Linked DNA regions of Ovis aries. The protein of the gene in region 2 purifies or fractionates together with the protein of the main gene of each other region. This does not show direct contact. Links are inferred from orthologs where the notes say so. Each region holds a gene or a part of one and is shown on either strand. Other genes may lie near its edges. The genes, in order: IQGAP1 and MYL6.

The links.
Region 1: the proteins of MYL6 (region 2) and IQGAP1 purify together in Homo sapiens (affinity purification with mass spectrometry; 4 studies listed by BioGRID and IntAct, counting the BioPlex papers as one, with this or other methods). This does not show direct contact. The link is inferred for Ovis aries from reciprocal best matches to the Homo sapiens genes MYL6 and IQGAP1.

Annotation. Positions count from the first base shown.
Region 1 is NC_056071.1:21,521,331-21,525,818, forward strand, and holds the start of IQGAP1 (ras GTPase-activating-like protein IQGAP1), read right to left. Parts: upstream 3,019-4,488; 5' UTR 2,918-3,018; coding exon 2,863-2,917; intron 846-2,862; coding exon 746-845; intron 1-745. UniProt on the Homo sapiens protein: Plays a crucial role in regulating the dynamics and assembly of the actin cytoskeleton.
Region 2 is NC_056056.1:163,379,412-163,383,874, forward strand, and holds the start of MYL6 (myosin light polypeptide 6), read right to left. Parts: upstream 2,869-4,463; 5' UTR 2,830-2,868; coding exon 2,827-2,829; intron 2,557-2,826; coding exon 2,529-2,556; intron 1,665-2,528; coding exon 1,521-1,664; intron 1,321-1,520; coding exon 1,147-1,320; intron 1,056-1,146; coding exon 978-1,055; intron 674-977; coding exon 645-673; 3' UTR 1-644. Other genes in the region: MYL6B (myosin light chain 6B), read right to left, coding at 3,438-3,466, 3,621-3,698, 4,225-4,398. UniProt on the Homo sapiens protein: Regulatory light chain of myosin. Does not bind calcium.

The DNA.
Region 1 (4,488 bases), on a different chromosome or scaffold from region 2:
CATCCTGGATTTTCATTAGACTTTAACCACAAAACCTCTCATTTTCCCTTGCTGGCCTTTTCCACCAAAGCTCACTTATAGGATACATGATCTGTAATTACATCTATCTACCCGGCAATCTTGCAAAAAACAAAAACAAAAAACAAGCACCAGAACAAAAGAAATGAACCACTGATAGTAAATTGACACCCTAAGACCACAAGGTCTTGGAGCATCTGAAAATGGAAAACAGCAGTTGCACATTAACTTCACGAAGAATGCAGATGACACTGCCTTTGGTAAACAGTCTTTGAATATTGCCAAATGGATGGAGCTACACCCAGAGCACTACCAAGGGGAAAACGGACCCAATTCACATATAAAGCAAAATTAGTAAAGAACCAGCGAAACATTAAGGCCCCAAACTTGAAACCTTAAAAATGCTTTTCTCCCATATAGCTGGTAGTGCCCAAAACATGCACCATAAGCATAAAACCGAACAACACAAACCAGGAAAATTTTCAGTATACGTAAGCGCCCACTGGACATGACTTAGAAACTGAACAAAAGTGCCCATCAGACTGTTTCATGATAAAACTACCATCAAGGCTACTTGCTCCTATGAAAAAAATATCCTAGCTATACTTACTTATTCCTTCAAACAACCTGCCTCCCACAGTCGCATCTACATACTCAACGAGATCTTTATCTTTGTTCACACAGTATCAGCTCCTTTCTCCCAGTCTTCTCTCCAGCCAATCTTTACCTCTTTGCTTCTTCCAAATGACAAAGGTATTCGTAGGCCACATTCTGACGTCTCCTCTCATCCATCTCCTCTGCAGTAAGTCTCTCATTATCCAGGACAGCTAAAACATGAAAGAAAGAATGTAAGCGCAAGAATCTGTAACCCTTCCTGAGCTATCAAAGAATGCCACAGCATCAAATTCCTGCTGGTCACCTGGAGAGTTAGGGTAACGTGTGGATAGCCAGGTGGACTATAATGACTTTCCTTAGATAGGAACCATTTTTCAACTGTTATATACTCATCTTAGTATCTATTTAAAAGTACAATATTATTTTACTTTTAAATACAATAACATATTGTACAGTTGTTACAGTTGTTCAGTTGCTAAGTTGTCCCTCTTGTCCCTCTTTCAACCTCAGGGACTGTAGCCCACCAGCCTCCTCTGTCCATGGGATTCTCTAGGCAATAATACTGAAATGGGTTGCCATTTCCTTCTCCAGGGGCTCTTCCTGACCCAGAGGATCGAACCCATGTCTCCTACATTGGCAGGTGGACTCTACCTGGTGAGCAACCTGGGAAGCCCCCAATATTATGAACATGTACTATATGTACTATATGACTTGAGATTTTGGTCCAAATTTGCGCTAATCTATCTGCCAGACTCTCAATCCAGAGCACTTTGTGCTTTTTCACTTTTTTATTAATCACTAAAGCCAGCAGTCACTGAGACCTAAGTGGCAGTGATTGTACTGTGCTTTTTACATGCATTCTCCCATGGAAGCCCCACAACAATCCTGTGATTATCAAATGTTTTACAAATGAGGAAACTGAGGCTCCATGATCTTTGCCCCAAGGCTAATAAATGATGGAGCCTATATTCAAACCCAGGTGGTCTGTCTCAAAAGCCCCTAAGATTAACTTCAAAGCAACCTGCTTTCTTTTTGGGCATCCAGGAAACAGAAAAAATGCCTAAGTGCTAAATGCCTAATTGGGGTTGGCATTCAATGCCTTTCCCAATTTAGCGGCAACTACTTTTGCTAACTCTTCCCCCCACACTACTGTGTACTCCACACAACTCAGGAGCCAACACACACAGCGCTCTTCTCTTCCATAACTTAGTTCACTCTCTTCCGCTTCACCCTCATGCCTTGCCCCACCCTGCCCTGTCAAACTGCACAGCATCCTGCAAGGCTCTGTTCAAATGTTCCAACTGTGTTCCTACTGCCTTCCCTAAACCCCTCTTCTTCATCCACATTACCTTTTAAGCCTGGTTGGTTCACAGGACACCTTTATCTCTATCCCTCCTTATTATCATTAGATAGTTACACCTGTCTGCCTCCCTAATTAAAACGTTCTTTGAAAGCAGGGTCTGGTCTTACTCAGCTTTAATGTCACAAATTTGACGTAATACCTGGCACAGAACTGTCGAGTGAAATTAGCCTAAAACACTATTCTCAGAATATCAAATAAAATCGGGAACCTCAAGACTCCAAAAGGCCCTCCTTTGGCCAGCGGTAACTATTCCACCTGCAGTTCAGTGATGTCCCAGGACAGGGACAGAAAATGAGATTCGGAAAATGAGGAAGTCAGAGGTATGTTTCTTTTTTTCTTTTTTGTGTCTTCACTTTTGAAATCCTGTCGAGGGAACTAAGCCCGAGAAAGCTGAAGTGACTTGCCCAGGGCCGCACCTCTCAGCTAGCCTGGGGCCGGGCAGGTCTGGACCCTGGATGTACCCGCAGGCAGCGCTCGGGCAGCGCCTTCCCGCGAAGCCCGAGCAGAGCCCGCGTCTCGGGGCTCCGGTTCCCGGGACACGCCCTGCACCGTCCTCCTGCCACCTCACCCTAGGCCGTCTCCCCAATCTCGGTCGAGCTGGGCGGCGGGAGGCGCTGGGTGGGGCCCTCCGGCCGCAGCGCCCGGGACCAGGCGTGGGGGCGGCCGGGGTCCTCCCCGCCGCCTCGGACACCGAGGGGGCGCGGGCTGGGAGCCTCGCCACCCGCCACCCCGTCGCATCGGCTCTTCCGGGTCCGCACGGCCCACAGCCGCCCTGTCCCACCCGCCAGGCCAGCCCCCCGGGAAAACGGCGCCGGGGGGACGGCGAGCCCGCCCCGGGACCCCTGCGCCGCGGAGCCCACACTCACAGCCATAGTGCGGCCGAGCCACGCCCAGTCCGTCAACCTCGTCCGTGGAGGACATGGCGGCCGAGCCCGGGTCTCTGCTCAGGAAGCGGAGAGACCTTAGAGGCGCGGGCGGCGGCGGCGGCAGCTACTGCACAGTGCGCGGGCTGCCCAGGTCCCCGAGGCTCCGCCCCGCGCCGCCGGCCCCACCCGCGGGCCCCGCCCCAGCGTCCCCGCCCTGCCGCGCCGACGGGAGAGGGCGGAAGGAGGCAGGGCCTGTGCCTCCCGGCTCCGCCCCCGGCCCCCTCCCTGCACCCAAAAAGCCCTCTGGAGGCGGAAGGAAGAAGGAGGAGCCTGCCCGCCGACCCTTCTCGCTGGCAGCTCTTCTGGACGGAGAAGACCAGCCCCGGCCCTGGATCTTTGCCCTCCCCGGCCGCCGCCCGATCCGCGCCACTTATCAAAATGCCGCCAGTGTCTGTAGCCTGACATAAAAAACGTGGGCATCTTCCGTTCCCCTTCCCGCCTAATCAAACTCTTCTGCACCAAAGGGCTCAAGGAAGGCCTCCTTTGAAGTGGCCCAGTGTGTTCCTGTGGACACATGCAGGACCCAGACTGCCCTAAGGGGCCGCACAGGCTGGCAGTCGAGACAAGTCTCCCAGCTTCGCCAGCTGTCGCCGGAGTTGAACTGCTTAACCCCTCTAGTATCTGAGAAGTGGATGCTAAAGCAGGAGAGTTGTGTTTGTCCAGATCTCCTTCCCGCTAGATTCATTGCCACTGTTTTTTGCAAGTTCTTCTTTTTAGGGGACTCTTTACCTTTTTAGGAGTGCCTCCTCTCCTTGCAACTTGTGGCCTGCCCTTAAAATATTGGTATGCAACGGAATTCTGGCCTCAGCACTCTTCCGTTTTTTCCCTTGCCCACTTTTTTCTGAATAACTTTATGCACGTTCACCTTAAATTGCTGAAGAGTCGTAAATTTGTATCTCAGATCAGACTTCCTAGAAGCCCCAGTTCAGTATTTTCGGCTGTGTAATGTGGCTCAGACGGTAAAGCGTCTGTCTGCAGTGCAGGAGATCCAGGTTCGATCCCTGGGTTGGGAAGATCCCCTGGAGAAGGAAATGGCAACCTACTCCAGTATTCTTGCCTGGAAAATCCCATGGACCACGGAGCCTGGTAGGTTACCGTCCATGGGGTCACAAAGAGGCGGACACGACTGAGTGACTTCACTTCAATGGACATTTTAACCTATGAATCCCGCAGAAACTTTAACCGGCCGAACCCTGACCCTGCTCCTGTTATAATCCCTATTGTGTATGCCCAGTCGCTCAGTCTTGTCCGACTCTTTGTGACCCTATGGACTGTAGCCTACCAGGTTCCTCTGTCCATGGAATTCTCCAGGCAAAAATACTGGAGTGAGTTTCCATTTCCTCCTCCAGGGGATCTTCCCCACCCAGGACCCTAGCGGGCATCTCCTACATTGGCAGAATTAGGCACTGTTAATTGACAAAAAGTCTAATATAGGATAACTATAAGATTAAGATTATCTGGATTTATGAAATATAATTTAAAAATCCAGCCCCAAGGACTCAACCTCTCTTTTTTGAAGACTTATTGAAAATATTAACTATTTGGGTGCCTGATTTAAAAGATAAA
Region 2 (4,463 bases):
TCCGCCAGGGGCCAGGAGACCACAGACCACAAAGGCAGCGTAGGAAGGAATGTGCCCACGACAACCAACCTTGGGGTCAGTTTGCAGTACTCTCGACCCCCAGCTCCCCTCCCACCAGCTGTTAGTTCCCCCTGCCCCACCCCGAGCAGCAAGAACACAGCAGAGGCAGAAGAGTTCCCAACTACACCTACAGCTACTGTCAGCCACTGGGGGGAGGAGGAGACAGAGTTTTGGGTTAGGGTATCTCCAAGCTGCCCAGCGGAAAGAAGAGAAGACCTACAGCAGCACGGTGGGGCAGGCAACCCACCCTCCCTGCCAACCACGTGATCCTGAGCTAAAGGATCACCATGAAGCCAGACGGGGGTAGGTAGGCTGGTGTGAGTTCCCAGACACCAGCACCCTGGAAGCCAACCAAACCTCAGACCCAGTTCTAGGAGAGGAGGAGGTGCCACACCCCCAGGCTGTCTGCCTCTTTGAGGAACCCCTCCCCTCCCCAGTCAGCTCCATGCAGAGGCATGCCGGGAAGAAGTCAGATGGTAGTAGAGGAAGGCAGGGGCTAGAGAGCAGAGGCTGGGGAAAAAAACACTGGGGAGGTCAACTAGAGAAGGGGGGCTGGGAGGAGCCGTACCCGCCCCATGGGCCCGTCACCCCGACAGGATATGCCTCACAAACGCTGCAGGAAGGAAGAGACATTCATGGTGAAGACAAGACATAGACGTGGGGTGAAGGGGTCAGGCAGTGAGGAACTGGACATCCATTTTTACTTCCCATCCCTTTCCCACCCTTCAGGCCACAGGAGCCCTTCCTTTCCTGTCACACCCCTCTGGCCTCCCATTCCTGGGCGGGGCTGGGCCCTGCCCCTTGCCTCCTGTCACTTTTAGGAGCCTGAATCCAGGGACAGGGAAAGCCCTCAGTGCGGTGCATGACCTGCCCCCATATGGCTGCTTCCTCCGTGAGACCGCCGGTTCATCCCTCACCTTCATAGTTGATACAGCCATTGCTGTCCTCATGCCCTGCCACCAGCATCTCTACTTCTTCCTCTGTCATCTTCTCACCTGCAGAGAGGAAGGAAGAGCGAGCATTCTGGATTTGGGTGACACCGAGGTCTCTCAGGTGGCACCTCAAGAAGAAAGGGCAGAGCCTCACCCAGTGTGACGAGAACGTGCCGGATCTCAGCACCCATGACGGTGCCGTTCCCTTCCTTGTCAAACACCCGAAGGCCTTCAACATAGTCCTCATAGGTGCCCTGGTCCTTGTTCTTGGCCACAGTCTGCAGCATGGGTAGGAAGTGCTCAAAGTCCAGTACCTTCACGTTCATCTCTGCCGAAAAGGAGGTGGAAGCTAAGTCATATGTGTTCTCAGGACTGGGGGTTAAGGGGCTCCCACTCCAGGCAGGAGAAATCTGTGGGATTTGCCAGACAAGACCCGCTCGTGTTTGGGGCCTAGGAAGATAAAAGGAAGCTATTAGCTGAAGACTGCGGGCCCCACCACAGTGCAGAGTTGTTCTTAAGGACCCTCACCATCACTCTTGGGGTTCCCCAGGACTTTGAGCACCTCGGCGTTGGTGGGATTCTGGCCCAGGGCCCTCATCACGTCCCCACACTGACTGTACAGGATCTTGCCATCCCCCGTTCGGTCAAACAGCTGGAAGGCCTCCTTGAACTCTGAGGATCCAGATAAACATCAGTATGGGACACACAGATGTTAACCCAAACCCTCCTCCATGGTCCCCACCGCCCATTCAACTTTGATCATGCTGAGGAAATCAGATATTTATAACACTGTACACCCAACCCCTGTAAGAGGGATCCAGTGTCCCTTCCTCCCAACTCAGGTGTCTCACATAAAGACCTGGCCTTCCTCAACGCTTAGCAGAGTGGTTCCGGCCACTTACATACCCTCTCCGCCTGCAGCAAGCCTGCCCAGCCTCCTCATTACACGACTCAGGGCAGGAATTTGCCACCGCCCTGTCTGGGCCCTGTCCTTATAAGGAAGTGGGAGCAGCGGCCTGGGACTGGGGTCATCCCAGCCTGCCACTTCTCACCCCTCTAGTACAGGGTCCTTTCAGAGGGTACTGCTACAAAGAAGTATCCTCAGCAAACTCCCCTGTTGCACTTTCACAAAAAAACAGGTCACTGCTGTTTACAGCCTTTACAATTCCAAGCTGAGGGGACAGGGTAGTTACCACAGGAGGAAAAGAGGCAGAAGTAGCTGATTAAGGAACACAGGAGCACAAACAGCTTAATACACCGTCCCCAAGCCCCACACACAGCAGGCATTAGTGATCAAGTTGTTTCACACAGCCACATCACCTAAAACTCACCCAGTGCTTGGGGATCAGATCTAGAGTAGAAGGGAAGGGAGGAAGAAAGAGTGAGAAAAGAAAATGGAAGATCCAGAAGGAAGGAGAAGGGAACCCACCAGGTACTCCCCTGGGGGTGCTAAAGAGATGACAGGTGAGGGTGAAAGAGCTAGAGGGAGTGTCCCTCTCCCTAACATGACCTCAACAGAGGTCAGCGATTACCTACCTGCGGTCTGATCCTCGGTGAAGTCACACTGCTCAGAGAAGACGAGAGTGGTCAGCATCTTAACTCCAATACCCCCAGCTTCCGTCCCAGTCCCAAGAACTCTGAATCACAAACTCCTATTCCATGCTGGGGACTCGCTTCCCAGCAGGGTAGGATCCCAGACACTCCAACCCCACCTCCAACCTTCGAGGGCCTCAGGTTCATTTACCCGCTACTCTCTGCCTTCTCCCCGCCCCCTCTCCCCGGCTTCCCGCCTTTCGCCCCAAATCCCGCTCATCCTCTCGGCCCCGGGCCCCACCATCTTGACGCTCAGCTCTACGGGACCTTTTCCTGCAGTAATGGCTCCGGTTCCTGGCCCAACCCTAGTCTTAGTACGTCCTAATGACGTCACCCCAGCTGACCCAACCAATAGGGATCCTGGCCCGGGTTTATGCAGATGACGCTACTATATTAGTAATAAAGTGGGCGGGGGCCAACTGGTGTTCAAGTCTCCAGAATAGCCCTACCTGGGGCACAGAAACTGCAGAACAAGGTGGAATGGGGCGCAAGGAATCTGCTCCTCCGAGCAGCGAGAAAGTCAGAGGAGGTCGCATTGGTGGGTGCGGGTGGGAAGAGGAGCCCTCCCTTTCCCTCCCCCACCTCTAAAGAAAGCAAGAGTCGGAAGCTAAGGGAGGAAACGTCTCTTTATTTTGAAACAATAGCCTCCTAGTGGCAGGAACGTGCTTTTGCCTGGTGGGAGCCCAGCGTCCGACGCCACTGCACCTGTGGAAAAAGATGAACGTTGCCAAATCCTGCCGCTGTCGGCGCAGCAAGACACGGAAATGCACTTCCTTGCTTTTGTACGCAGGCAGAGGGACAAGAAGGAGGCTTGCCTCCCAAGGCGCAGTGAGAGTGCCGTACCTGCATTGCTCAGACGCTTAGGATGTGCTTCAGGAAGGCTGCAGAGAGAAGAGGCAAGAGGGGCTTCAGAAGCTGGCCTGATGATAACCCATCTGACTTTAGATAATTCAGGCTTCAGGATGCCTCCACCCACATACCTCGGGCCTCCTGCCTCCCTCTTCCCCAGTCGTTTCTGCTCCTCTGGCCCCTCACCTTCATAGTTGATGCAGCCACTGCTGTCCTCATGTCCTGCCAAAACAGACTCCACCTCCTCTTCAGTCATCCTCTCTCCTGGGCCCAGACACAGTGTTTTAGCCCCTGCCTTCCCTCCCTTATCAACCCATGCCTCTTTCTTCTGGTGGCACCTCCTCTTCTCCCACCCTGGAGACTTGCCCATAGTAACAGTCCCCCAAGAGAATTCCCTCTTTGTAGTGGGCATGCCTTGAATGTGTCTCTGAATCTTGCTTTCCATTTCACCTCAATTATAGGTGGTGAAAGCTTTGACAGACAAGGAAACTGAATTCCAGAGGATTAAAAAACAGACCATATCATAGAGTACAGCCATCTCTTCCTAAGACTGAAACTCAGATTTCCCACCTCGTTCCCTTTCCTCTGCCCTTTGGGAGACAGCTGCAGCCCACTCACTTTAGACTGAAGGAGGAAGACCTTCAGATCCTGTCCCTAAGGCTCTGACCTTCTCAGTCTCCTGCCCATGACCCATAGGACAGTAATCCCTCACTGGCTCTGCTTACTTGGCTAACCTTCTTAGTTCATCCCCTCCTCTCAACACCCCCAGGAGTTCTGGTCCCTGTCTCACCCAGGGTGGTGAGGACATGTCTGAGCTCAGCTCCCATGACTTTGCCATTCTGCTCTTTGTCAAACACCCGAAGCCCCTCCAGGTAGTCCTGGTATGAGCCTCGGTCTGGCAACTTGGCGACTGCCTGAAGCATGGGCAGGAAAGTCTCAAAGTCCACACGCCGGGACTTCAGCTCTGGAGATAGAGAGGTGAAGGAGAGGTTACTACAGTGTCACCTAGGACCCAACTCCCATCCCCAC